Linked DNA regions of Canis lupus familiaris. The main gene of each other region encodes a partner of the protein of the gene in region 2 in a complex. Links are inferred from orthologs where the notes say so. Each region holds a gene or a part of one and is shown on either strand. Other genes may lie near its edges. The genes, in order: ANP32E, ING3 and VPS72.

Region 1 (3,620 bases), on a different chromosome or scaffold from region 2:
CATCTTTAAAAATATTTTAAAAGATGAGTGAGTGGCTGAGCAAATGTTTCTTGCTAGTACTTTAAGCCTATCTGCCCTTGCCCCAATCACTTCAAACTCTAAAGCCAATGGGAAGGTGGAAACTATCTCAGGGATATTTTCTTTTTTTAAGATTTTCCTTTTACAGGGGGTGCCTGGGTGGCTCAGATGGTTAAGTGTCCAACTCTTGATTTCAGTTCAGGTCATGGTCTCAGGCTCTGCCCTCAAGTAAGGAGGTTTGCTTGACTCTCTCCCTTTGCCCCTCTCCCCACTTGTTCACCTGTGTGCGCTCGCTCGCTCTCTAAATAAATAAATAAATCTTAAAAAAAAAAAAAAAAGATTTCCCTTTCACAACATCCATATTTACTATTTGAGAACTATGGTTTCTAAATACTGAAATATTTCCAACGTACAGATTTTCATTAAAATATTACATGCACTAAAGTTTGTTTTACCTTATGGACATCTCAAAACCCACTTCTCTATCATTCTATCATTTTCTAATATTGTTTGTCCATCAGATTTCTTTTTATAGTAAAAATGATTTTCAACCAAGAGTAATCAGTGTCCCATTACTAACAACAGCCATTCCATCATCTGATCTGTTAGTCACCCACTTATCCAATCATATATATTCACTACCTAATTCTAGAACGTTTCCATCACCTCCCCTCTCCCTCTCAAAAAAAACCCAGTCATTAACAGTCACTCCCCATTCTCCTCTCACCCAGCCCTGGCAACCATTATCCTACTTTCTGTTTCTATGGATTTGCCTATTCTGGACATTTCATACAAATGGAGTCATACAAAATGTGGCCTTTTGTGTCTGGCTTCTTTTACTTCATAGAATGATTTCAATGCAAGAGCATGTATCAGTGCTTCATTCATTCTTATGACTGAATCAATAATGTTTCACTGTATGGATATATCACATTTTGTTTCTCCATCAGTCGATAGGCCATTTGGGTTGTTTCTATTTCTTGACTATTATGGATAACACTACAAGAAATGATTCCTTTAAAAAAAAAAAAGTACTATTTTAAAAGTTGCCACTTTTACTAGGTGGTCATTAAACAAGTTCATACAGATACAAAATTTCAGAGCTTGAGGGCGCCCAGGTGGCTCAGTCAGTTGGGCATCTGCCTTCAGCTCTGATCATGATCCTGGGGTCCTGGGATTGAGCCCCACATGGGATTCCCTGCTCAATGGGGAGCCTGCTTCTCCCTCTCCCTCTGCCACTTCCTCTGCTTGTGCTCTCTCTTGTTCTCTCTCTCAAATAAAATCCTTAAAAAAAAAAATTTCACATAGCTTGATAGCATAATAATCATTAAATTCCCCAAAGCTATCAGCAATCTAAAATAAGAAATACAGGATTAGGGCTGTGGGTTTTGTAATTTTTCTTGTTTTACATCTTTTTTTTTTTTTTTTTTTTTTTTTTTTTATCACCTAAATATCCAGGCCCAATCTAACTTGCCTGGCTAGGCTGGAGCCTGTATTTATAAGCATTAAGAATGATTACCCTCATCATCCTCCTCTTCTGAATCTGGTGCTTCGTTATCCTCCTGATCAAATCCATCTAAGTATGTGATTTGCTGCAGCAGTTCGAAGATACTTTCTCTGTAATCTTCCAGGTTTGTGATCTCACAGTTAAACAAGTCAAGACTTTTCAAATTTTTAAGATTTTGCTGGAAAAGTAAAAAGTTAAAGCTTACATTTCAAGATTTTAAATATTATGTTATTTCTTTTTATTTCATGGACCTGAAAACATATATTAAAAGAATGATTTTTGGATTTTTCAAATTTTATAAAGAAGGGTTATCGTATCAATTCTCTTTATGAGGACCTGCATGTAAACTCCACAAGAATAGGAAGTTTATTTTGTTCACCACTGTATTTCCAACACCTGGCTTAGAGTCTTCCTGTAGTAGCCACTCAATATATTTTGTTGACCATATATGTGCATAAATAGGCAACAATAATAATGTGGTTAGCTTTAAACCCAGTCAAGCTTATTGTCAACAATTTCAACCTCCTGCCAAGCTTTTTTAAAATCAGAACAACAATTTTCTGAGTTTCACTTCATCTCATTCCAGGAAACAAAGAAGCAAATAATAAAATTAAATTAAATTAAATTAAATTAAATCAAGAAAGAAGGAAAAAGAATAGAATTTAAGAAAATACTGGGAAGTTTAAAACCAGATATTCAACTCATGAGGTTATTAATAAAATAAATTTCTCAGAGATTTAAAAATTTATCTGAATGGTTTACTCTAAAAGAAGAGAAGGCAGATCCTTTTAAAAACGTATAAGAAATTCAGAAGTTTCAAAGAGTGAAATATAAATCAGTGAAGATAAAAACACTAGCAAATCTCAGAAAATCAACCAAAAAAGAGCAAGTCCAGAGACTTTCCACTCACCAGAGCTTCTACTGTACTGAGATCTTTGATTTTATTTCCACTCAGATTGAGGTAAGTAAGATTTGGACATTTCTCTGCCAGGACTTCCAAACCACCAGAAATTATATTGTCACTAAGTTCCAACTATATATTCAACATGGAGAAAAAACAAACAATGGTGAAGGCTTAGGGCAGATCGGATTATTTTTTAAGTTTTTTATTTATTTAAGTAATCTCTACACTCTATATGGAGCTCAAACCCAATGCCAAGATCAAGAGTCACACATTCTTCCAACTGAGCCAGCCAGGCGCCCCCAGTTTTTTAAAATATATCAATTTGAAGAAGAAATGTTACAAATTATTAGTTTCCAAATTCCTACCTATAATCACCAAATAATGTATTGGAACCCCTATATAATAAGCTTCTACCCCAAATTTGGTTCCAGTTGGGTTATAGGTAGATTTTATGTTTCAGAGAAAAACATTTAGTAGATATTAAATCCAAATTCATGGGGCACCTGGGTGGCTCAGGGGTTGAGCATCTGCCTTCAGCTCAGGTTGTGATCCCGGGGTCCTGGGATCCAGTCCCAAATCAGGCTCCTCACGGGGAGCCTGCTTCTCCCTCTGCCTGTGTCTCTGCCTCTCTCTGTCTCTCATGAATAAACAAATAATTTTAAAAAATAAATAAATCCACATTCATGTCATAAAGCAATTTCACTATTATGTTTAAATTTCTAAAAGCAGTATTAGAGCTGATTCTAAAATCCTGCATAACCCATTCTCTTATCTCTAGAAATTCAGAAACTTCTAATTAGAAGGCAGATCGGTTGTTTCATTTGGCCAAAACCTAGACATGTTAGCCCTCGGCATCAAAATTATGATGATTTCACACTTAATACCAACTTACCTTTCGAAGTTTATTTAAGCTGGGCAGTCGGGCCAGTGAACTTAGTTCCACATTAGCCATACTCAGAAACTCTAGTTTTTTAAAAGTATCATTCAGGCCTTCAATTTCCCCATTGACACACAGGCAATTATCAAGGACTAACTCTGTCACCTGTAAGATAGAAAATGAATGATTATGTTGCAGTCTGTTTAGCAAAAGACGGGTCAAGACAACTGGCAATGTGAATATTAAAACCACTAATTCCCTTACACAGATCCCTTCCATTCACTCCTCCCTAACCAAAAACTGAAATACAATCT
Region 2 (4,313 bases):
TGGTTTGAACTTTTTTTTTTTTTGAATGGTAAGAAGGAAGGAAACAAAGAAATGACTATGGACCTAGATTCACCACTGAGAAACCACAGAAATATCCAAGAGATCTTAAAGGCAGCCGGAAGGAAGGAAGGAAGGAAGGAACGAAGAAGGGAGTGTAGGAGGGAGGAAACCCGAAAATCCTAGATTTTAGATAAAAGTACAGAAAGTAAACTAGGTAATCATTAGAATTGAGGTGGGTTTCCCTTGACATTCACCAACACGACAGGTGAGCATCCTGACCATGAGCGGTGGAAAAAGTCTTGGGTAGAAGAGGGCGGAAGGGAGAAAACTCAAAAATGCATCAAATGTCTCGACTCCAATTTGAAAAAAAAAAAAAAAAAAAGAAAAAAAAAGTGAAAATAGAACACTGAATGGCGAACTGAAGACACATTTCCCAGGAAAACGAACAGAGAGCTAAGGCAGGTGGGAGAGAAAGATGCTCTCGACCTGTGCTGCGTGCAGATGTTCTTAAGAAAAAGAAAACTGAGCCGTGAAGGACCGAATCCATCACGGGGCGGGGAAGGGGTCCCGGGGTAGAAGATGACCCCTCCCGCGGGTGTAGACAGCTGGGGGCGGGCTGCTTACTCAACACCGCCTGAAGTCATTCTTAGAACAGCTCATTCGACAGCAGCAAGTCTCCATCCGTTATTTCTGCTTGTTCTCTAGTTCTGCTTTTTTTTTTTTTTTTTTTTTTTTTTTTGGTGGGTGCACTTCGTGCGTTCAGCTCGATGACATCACGGTGACGACGAGCCGGACCGCGGAATAAAAGCAGGTAAAGAGCGCGTGGAGGGCGGCCACCCGTCCAGGTGCAGGAAAGCCAAGCAGGCGCCTCGTGGGTATTTTGAGCAGTCGGAGACTAAGGATGCGTTCCAGCCAGGAGTTCTGTCTTACACAATGCGGATCGCCCGAACTCCGCTGGCCGTTCCGGCGCTGGAACACCTTCCACCTGCCCCGCCCGCCTGGAAACCCGCGACTCCCAGCCGCCGGGGCCACCGAGGCACGCCGGCCGGGAACAGGTGGAAAGTTGCTCCTACTTGGGTTCCGCGGGCGCCTACAACTCCCGTCATGCCCCGCGCCGGCATCAACAAATAAACAGAGGCACCGCATTTCGGATTCCGCGGCGCACGGGGCGCAAGGCCGCCTGGTCTTCGTAGTTGCCACGCCGGTAACCGCCGGGCGCGCCGATCCTCGCCGTGGGGGGGAACCGGACTACACTTCCCACAAAGCCGCGCGGGCGGACTCCGGCCGGCTGACGTCATCGCCCCAGCCGGCCAATGACGGCTCCGGGCGGCAGTGAGGCAAGCGCCGTCAGGCGCCAAAGTGGTTTTTTTTTTTCTTTCTTTTTTTTTTTTTTTTTTTTTTTCCGCCGAAGCCGAGCGGGTGCTGCTAGCGGAGGCGCCATATTGGAAGGGACAAAACTCCGGCGACAGCGAGTGACACAAATAAACCCCTGGACCCCCTCGTTGCCCCAGCTCTAAGGGCCGCGATGTTGTACCTAGAGGACTATCTGGAAAGTGAGTGGGCGGCGCTGGCGGGGGCCGCCTGGGGGACCCGCGGGCGGGCGGGCGCGCGAGCGGCCGGGCGGGCGGGATGGCGGGAGGGAGGGGGAGGCGGGGGATGTTTCTTTCTCACGGTAACTGGCAGCCGGGCTGTGGGCTGCCGGCTCCTTCGCCCCCCCCACGCACGCACGCACGCACGCAGTGACGTCAGCGCGCCCTTCGCCGTTGGCCCCGCCCCGCTGACGGCCTCTCCCTTTGACAGTGATTGAGCAGCTGCCCATGGACCTGCGGGACCGCTTCACGGAGATGCGCGAGATGGACCTGCAGGTGCAGAGTAAGTCGGCGGTTCGCCCGCCCGGCCGCGCGCGGTCGGGGCCAGACCTTCCACCGACGTCGTCGCCTCTGCTCTCTGACTCTCCTCCGGCTCACGGGCTAGTGCATAAGGAGTCGTTTAAAAAAAAAAAAAAAAAAAAAACAAACGCCAAAAAAACCCCCCCAAAACCATAAAACCACACACACACATACACAAGGCAGTGCCGCATCTTGCCTCTTGCTGTCCACGCCGCTTCCCCCTTTGCTTTTACCCGAGGAGGAGGCGCTGGGGCCCGCGTGTGTGTTTCTTTCCCGAATTCAAGACTGGGATAAAAGTTTCTGTGCCTCGGGGAGGACGTAGACACATGCTTTTAACGCACGTCGGTGTAGGTGTGGAGAAGATGGTGGTTTCTGGCCCGAGCCCTTGCGTCCGGAACGTAGATTTCGGCATTTAGACTTCTGCTGAAGTTGGTTCTGCTCAGAATTTTCTGCAGAGCGGAAAACCCAGCAGCCTGGGGGTTGGTGTGGCTCTTTAGTGACCCCGCTGAACTTGGAATGTCGAGTCTTGCAAAGCCGCACCTTGCAGGATGCATTCCCACCCGCCAGCAGGATGATGCTATTCCCCCCCCACCCCCCCCATGAAAACGAGTGAGGAAAATAGACCTTCCTGTAAAGCTGCTTATCTGTTGCAATAAAAGTGATGACTTCTCATCGATCAGTGGTAGCTTGGTAGTCTGGTTCCTTCCCCCTACCCACCCACCCCCCCAAAAAAAATTAACCGTTGTTCTTTCATAGAGCAGTATTTGGTTTATCCGATTGTTTTGTTTTGTTTTGTTTTTGTGAAGGATTTGACTCAAAGCAAGGAAAGAGTCAGTGCCTTGGAAACGAGGAGGTCAACACTTGGAGCAAAATCACAGTTAAAACGAGTACGAATTTACGCCTGTCGTGCTCTGAAAGAACCTCACAGGCCTTCTCCCCCTTTTATGAAATGAATGTAATACAGCCGTTCCGGTTCTCTTGCAGGGATACCATACTGTGAACTACGAGTGCGGAATGAATTACACGTTACACGATTATTTTATTTTATTTTTTTTTTACGTTACATGATTAAAATGTACAATGGGGTGTGCGCTTAAGCCCGGATGTCACCCTCTCTGTAGATGTAGGCTTGGCTGCCAGCAGCGCATCTCGTCTAAATTGATCTAATGTTTTTCTAATACTGTGGATGACATGAGATAATGCAAATAGCCCGTTGACCTAGGTCCTGAAGACCGTCCAACAGATGGTCTTGGAGGCTGTTGGAGCCTGAAGATGGCTCCAACAGAGCAGGGGCTGCCATGGTTACTGACCTGCACTGAGTAGTTTTTATCCAGAAATCAATTAAAGTTGCATTTGTTACTTTAAACAAAACAAAACAAAACAAAAAAACTTGTGCAGTTGATATTAATGGCTGGCCTTCATGCGGTCTGTCCTCAAGAAAATACGTGCCTTGATCCCATTTATTCTAGCTGTGGTTAGGCTATCTACGTAAAATGTTTCTCATGCCACTAGGTTTTTTTTTTTTTGTCCTCGAAAAGTAGCGGTGGAGGAGGATCTGGGTTTGGGGGTATGACTGGGGGGAAAAGGGTATCATGGAAAGAAATCAGAGACCCAGCATCCCTGAGGATCCTGCAGCTCCTGAGGGCCTGTCCTTTCCCCCGTGCTTCCCCACCCCACACTCGCACCCCACGCTTTCATACCCACGGGTGATGAATATAGGTTCCTGAGCCTCTGGTGCGTTCCATGTGGCCATGCGGCATACAAGGTGATGGGCTACGGAAGCCTTCTTTATGTTCAGTGGGTCATAGTGTAGGAGTCTGAACTGTGTGTTTCTTTAGCTTGCCCACAAAATTCATTTTGACTGTCATGTAGTTGAAATGCTAAAGTAGCGTTTTCTATGGGACTGAGCACAGATCTTGATGTCAGATAGATCCGAGTTCGTATTAGAGTTTTGCTGACTTACTCTTTGACCTTGACCGCATTACCACTTCTGAGGGGTTTTCCTTGTCTATAGAATGGAGATCATCTGAGGATTTAAAATAACACAGTTAAACTAGAATTTATAGTATCTGATACAAAGCAGAAGTTCACGAAAAGGTGACTTATTTTTGCTTCGTTATCATTACAAATTTTAAATTCTCTTGTGATTTGTAATTGGATTATACAAATGAGAGGTTTTATTTTTTTATGTTTTTTAAAGATTTTCTTTAAAATCTTTGAGAGAGAGCACACGTGGGTGCAGGCACACGAGCAGGGGAGGGGCAGAGGGAGAGAGAGAAGCAGCCTCCCCCGCTGAGCAGGGAGCCGACTGGGGTTGGGGGCACCCAGTCCCAGGACCCTGAGGTCATGACCTGAGCCAAAGGCAGGTGCTTAACCAGCTGAGCCACTCAGGCGCCCCAGATGAGAGGTTTTATACACTTGCAT
Region 3 (4,313 bases), on a different chromosome or scaffold from region 2:
TGAGTTCTTGTAATATGTATAATGGAGAGCCAATGAAGATTTAGGGAGGAAGGAAAACTATATACCAGGGCTGTTTCAGAAAGCTCTGGAAGTTGTTAGCTGAGTGGAGTAGAGAACGTGGAGTACACCCTAGAATTGAGGGGTTACAGGTTAGGACTAGAATGGCAGCCACATAGGAAAGTAAAGGGAAAAACACACTTAAGGGCGAGGGAGTCAAAAACTGGGCAGGGTGGCACCTCAAACATGTGGCTCTCTCTTCAGTCAGGGATGTAGACCAACAGGCTAATCCTGGTACACATGCTGCCAAAGCAAGCAAACAGCACAGACAGCTGACATGCCAAGCTAGCCAGAGTTCAAACTTGCACCGATGGCCATCATTTCCTCCCAACTGATGCTTGTGAAAGACTGCCTGGGAACACATTAATCCCCTCAGCTCTAACCAGGTATTAAGTCATCGCACCAGAGAGTAGTCATTGAACTGCACATTAGCTTAGTGTCCGTCCAATCAAGATGCTTTCACTAAGTTAGGGATTTACTACCATACCTTTGGCTTTTATCAAGGGTCATTAATAGGCATGACTAGGTAAGTGAATGTTTCTACATCATCTAGTGAACCCATTACTTTATAATTTTATGTAGAAGTGCACTTCTTCCTAGGACTTAATGCTGAATAAATTTTTCTCTCTTAAAGAATGTATATGCCTCTTTCTTACTGAAAAAAGAAATTCAGGGCTTGGCTGCCAGGAAGCTCACAGCTAAATTTATTATTTATTTATTTATTAAAATATTTTATTTATTTATTCATGAGAGACAGAGAGAGAGAGAGAGAGAGAGAGAGAGAGAGAGAGGCAGAGACACAGGCAGAGGGAGAAACAGGCTCCATACAAGGATCCTGATGTGGGACTCGATCCCGGGACTTTGGGATCACGCCCTGAGCCAAAGGCAGATGCTTAACCACTGAACCACCCAGGCGCCCCGCTAAATTTAATATAAATTGCTATTACTATTTTAGCAGAGGTTCCTGGTACAATTACTTCTGATCTGTCTCTATTTTTACAGTTCCTACTTTTTGTTTATATTGTAAGCCTCCTTTAATCCTTTTTGGAAGCATGAAGGGTACATATTAAATAACGACTCGTAAAATGACAGGAATAGGAAAATGGCCTTTGGGGGAGGGATGAGAACATTCTATTTTAAACTATAGTTGGTCTACTGTGTAAGTAATGACTCCCAATCAAGTCCTGTGGATTCAAGTCCTATGGATTCAATGTCCTTAATTTGTCTTGAAACTATTGCCCATGTTTCTCTACTCCCACTGCCTCCTTCAAACCATTCTCCTCATTACAGAGTGAGCTTTCTAAAATACAAATCTGATCATGGTACTTTGATGAATCTTCTCAGTCGTCTAGAAAAAGAGCAAAACCCCTCAACATGGTTCATAAGGCCCAACATGATTTGGCCTATGTCCACTCCCTCCAACCTTATCAATTTTATTCTCCTTCAAGGTTTGGAGAAAGGAGAGTAGGCCTGCATGTACCACACAGACTCAGTACCTTTACACATTCTGCATCCCCCCCACCCCTCCACACACACACCGTTTCTCCTTATCCTGCTCCCAGCCCTACTGCTGTTCACTGAGTCAAGGCCTACTTTTCATACTGTAGTAAGCTTAAACATCATGTCCTCCAGGGAGGCCAATCCTAACCAATAACTCTGGCTCCCGTATATTACCACAGCACCCTAGCTTACCATTTTTTTCCCCTCCTTATCACAAAGTATTTCAGCTGTTAATCCAGCTGGTTCCCCCCACTGGGGTCTGGAATACGAGTAACAAAGTGGTGTTTTCAATACTTTACGCTTCCCTAGAACTTACCACAGTGGTTGGCTTGCCCTAGCTCTTCAACAGATATTTTTTTAAATTTTTTATTTATTTATGATAGTCACAGAGAGAGAGGGGCAGAGACACAGGCAGAGGGAGAAGCAGGCTCCATGCACCGGGAGCCCGATGTGGGATTCGATCCCGGGTCTCCAGGATCGCGCCCTGGGCCAAAGGCAGGCGCCAAACCGCTGCGCCACCCAGGGATCCCTTCAACAGATATTTTAAGAATGGACAGATTCAATCAGCACCAGTGCCGGTCCAATCCAGAGAATGGACCAGGCACTGGACGTATACTGCTGGACAAAACAGACCATCTCTAACCTGACAGAGCTTACAATCTAATAGAAAAGTATAAACAAGTAGGCAAACCAAATCTAATTGCAATTCGAAATATATTATATGAAGGAAATAAATGGACCACTTTTTAGAGCAGTTAGGGAAGGATTAACTAAGGAGACATTGACGTTGAGATTTGAAAGGTGAAAAAAGTAGGCTGAGCTCCTGTATTTTGTGAAGAGATCCTTTTCTACCTTCAGGTGGATAACCAAGCAGTAGGCCAGAGTCCATACTGCGTGACTACGAGGAGCTCGAGTACGTTAGACGTCAGAAGTGAAACACGCAACCCGAGAAGTATACGCTTGGTTTCTTCCATGGTCTGGGGTGCCTCGGAGAGCCCCTCATCCCTGAGCCCTCCAACCCCATCCAGGACTCTCCCACCCGCTCTCGAATATCACTCCCAGGGCTGATTCTATCCATTCCCCGCCCCCTTCTTTGTCCGACGTTTCTCCGTTCAGGACTCCTAGTAGCTTCCTCCCCTCCCTCTTCCTGGGCCCGACTCTTGCCTCTGTGAAACCCCCGTAAGTCGTCTGGTAGAACTCATCTTCCTCCTCGGCTTCCAGGAGCCCAGAAAGCCGGTTCCCCGCGGTCTTCCGGGGGGCCCGGCCACCGGCCAAACTCATACTGCCTACCGAGACTGCGCCGCCACCAGCGGCCCCTCACCCAGCGCGGTATCGGCGCTCGACACAACTACCTGCGGCGGCGGGCGGCGGCGGAAGCCCTTCGTCCACAGGCAGAAGTAGGAGAGCGTCGAGACGCTTCTAGGCCCGTCTGTCAAGCCTTCTTCTTCTTCTTTTGTTTTTTAAGATTTTATTTATTTATTCATAGAGACCGAGAGAGAGAGAGGCAGAGACACAGGCAGAGGAGAAGCAGGCATCATACAGAGAGAGCCCGATGTGGGACTCGATTCAGGGTCTCCAGGATCACGCCCTGGGCTGCAGGCGGCGCTAAACCGCTTCTTTACCCTGCAGCCCCGCCCACGGGGGGGGGGGGGGAGCGGCGTGGAGACGACCCCCAAGCTCCCTCCCCTAGCTCGCGCTGATCTGGACTGCAGAATGATTACCGGGTGACGCCAGCAGCCCCACTACCCTAAGTCCAGAATTTGAGAGTCAACAAATGTTCACTTAGAAGAGGTCAGTCTCCCTCTGCTCCAGTCCGTTTTCCACTCTGCTTTTAGTGATGAACCTTTCTTAAAAAACAGACTTTGTCAGTCTTCTGCTCAAAGATCTTTAATGGGGATCCCTGGGTGGCGCAGCAGGTTAGCGCCTGCCTTTGGCCCAGGGTGCGATCTTGGAGACCTGGGATCGAATCCCACATCGGGCTCCCGTTGCATGGAGCCTGCTTCTCCCTCTGCCTGTGTCTCTGCCTCTCTCTCTCTCTCTCTATCATTAATAAATAAAAATTAAAAAAAAAGATGTTTAATGGCTCCCTGGCATCTACAGGTTAAAGTACAGGATTCTTGGGGACAGAACAGTAGTGTGGTTAATATTAGATTTATAACCAACCAGACCTGAGTTTTGAGTTTAGGGTCTTCTAGCTGTGTGACTTTGGACAGTTGGTGGAATCTCAGTTTTCTCACCTGTAGAGTGGGACGAGGGGTGCCCGGCTGCTCAGTGGGTATAGCATGTGACTCTTGATACCAGGGTCGTGAGTTCCTTGGACATGGAGTCTACTTAAAAAAAAAAAAAAAAAGAGGTGGGAGTAATAACATCTACCTTTTACAGTTGTTGAAAAGATTAAAAGATTAGGAGATCTAATCCTTTTAAACTTCTTCAGCAGGATTTAGTAAGCACATAGATGGTTAGTAGGTGATAATTACTATTAACATTGACATTAAAGATCCTGCATAATTTGGCCTCTCCCTGCCTTTCTAGTTTCACCTCTTGCCTCATCATCCCATTCTAGCATCACTTCCCAATCCTCTGTCGTGCCTGTGTGCTTTTCCTTCTCCTTAGGATTCTTTTCCTATCTTATATACCTGGCAGAATCCTGGTTATATTGGACAGTGATGTCTTCCCACTCGCCCACCTCGCTTCCTAGCAGTTTCCATAATCATGGAGATCATGCCTCCTCAATTCTCCAGAATAGTTCCAATCTC

The links.
Region 1: ING3 (region 2) and ANP32E share a complex: the UniProt entries of both Homo sapiens proteins name them as parts of the SWR1-like complex. The link is inferred for Canis lupus familiaris from reciprocal best matches to the Homo sapiens genes ING3 and ANP32E.
Region 3: ING3 (region 2) and VPS72 share a complex: the UniProt entries of both Homo sapiens proteins name them as parts of the nuA4 histone acetyltransferase complex. The link is inferred for Canis lupus familiaris from reciprocal best matches to the Homo sapiens genes ING3 and VPS72.

What each region holds. Positions count from the first base shown.
Region 1 is NC_049238.1:60,128,143-60,131,762, forward strand, and holds part of ANP32E (acidic leucine-rich nuclear phosphoprotein 32 family member E), read right to left. Parts: intron 3,472-3,620; coding exon 3,322-3,471; intron 2,559-3,321; coding exon 2,436-2,558; intron 1,704-2,435; coding exon 1,538-1,703; intron 4-1,537; coding exon 1-3. UniProt on the Homo sapiens protein: Histone chaperone that specifically mediates the genome-wide removal of histone H2A.Z/H2AZ1 from the nucleosome: removes H2A.Z/H2AZ1 from its normal sites of deposition, especially from enhancer and insulator regions.
Region 2 is NC_049235.1:59,197,557-59,201,869, forward strand, and holds the start of ING3 (inhibitor of growth protein 3), read left to right. Parts: upstream 1-1,463; 5' UTR 1,464-1,525; coding exon 1,526-1,553; intron 1,554-1,800; coding exon 1,801-1,872; intron 1,873-4,313. UniProt on the Homo sapiens protein: Component of the NuA4 histone acetyltransferase (HAT) complex which is involved in transcriptional activation of select genes principally by acetylation of nucleosomal histones H4 and H2A.
Region 3 is NC_049238.1:60,907,335-60,911,647, forward strand, and holds the start of VPS72 (vacuolar protein sorting-associated protein 72 homolog), read right to left. Parts: upstream 2,912-4,313; 5' UTR 2,839-2,911; coding exon 2,722-2,838; intron 1-2,721. UniProt on the Homo sapiens protein: Deposition-and-exchange histone chaperone specific for H2AZ1, specifically chaperones H2AZ1 and deposits it into nucleosomes.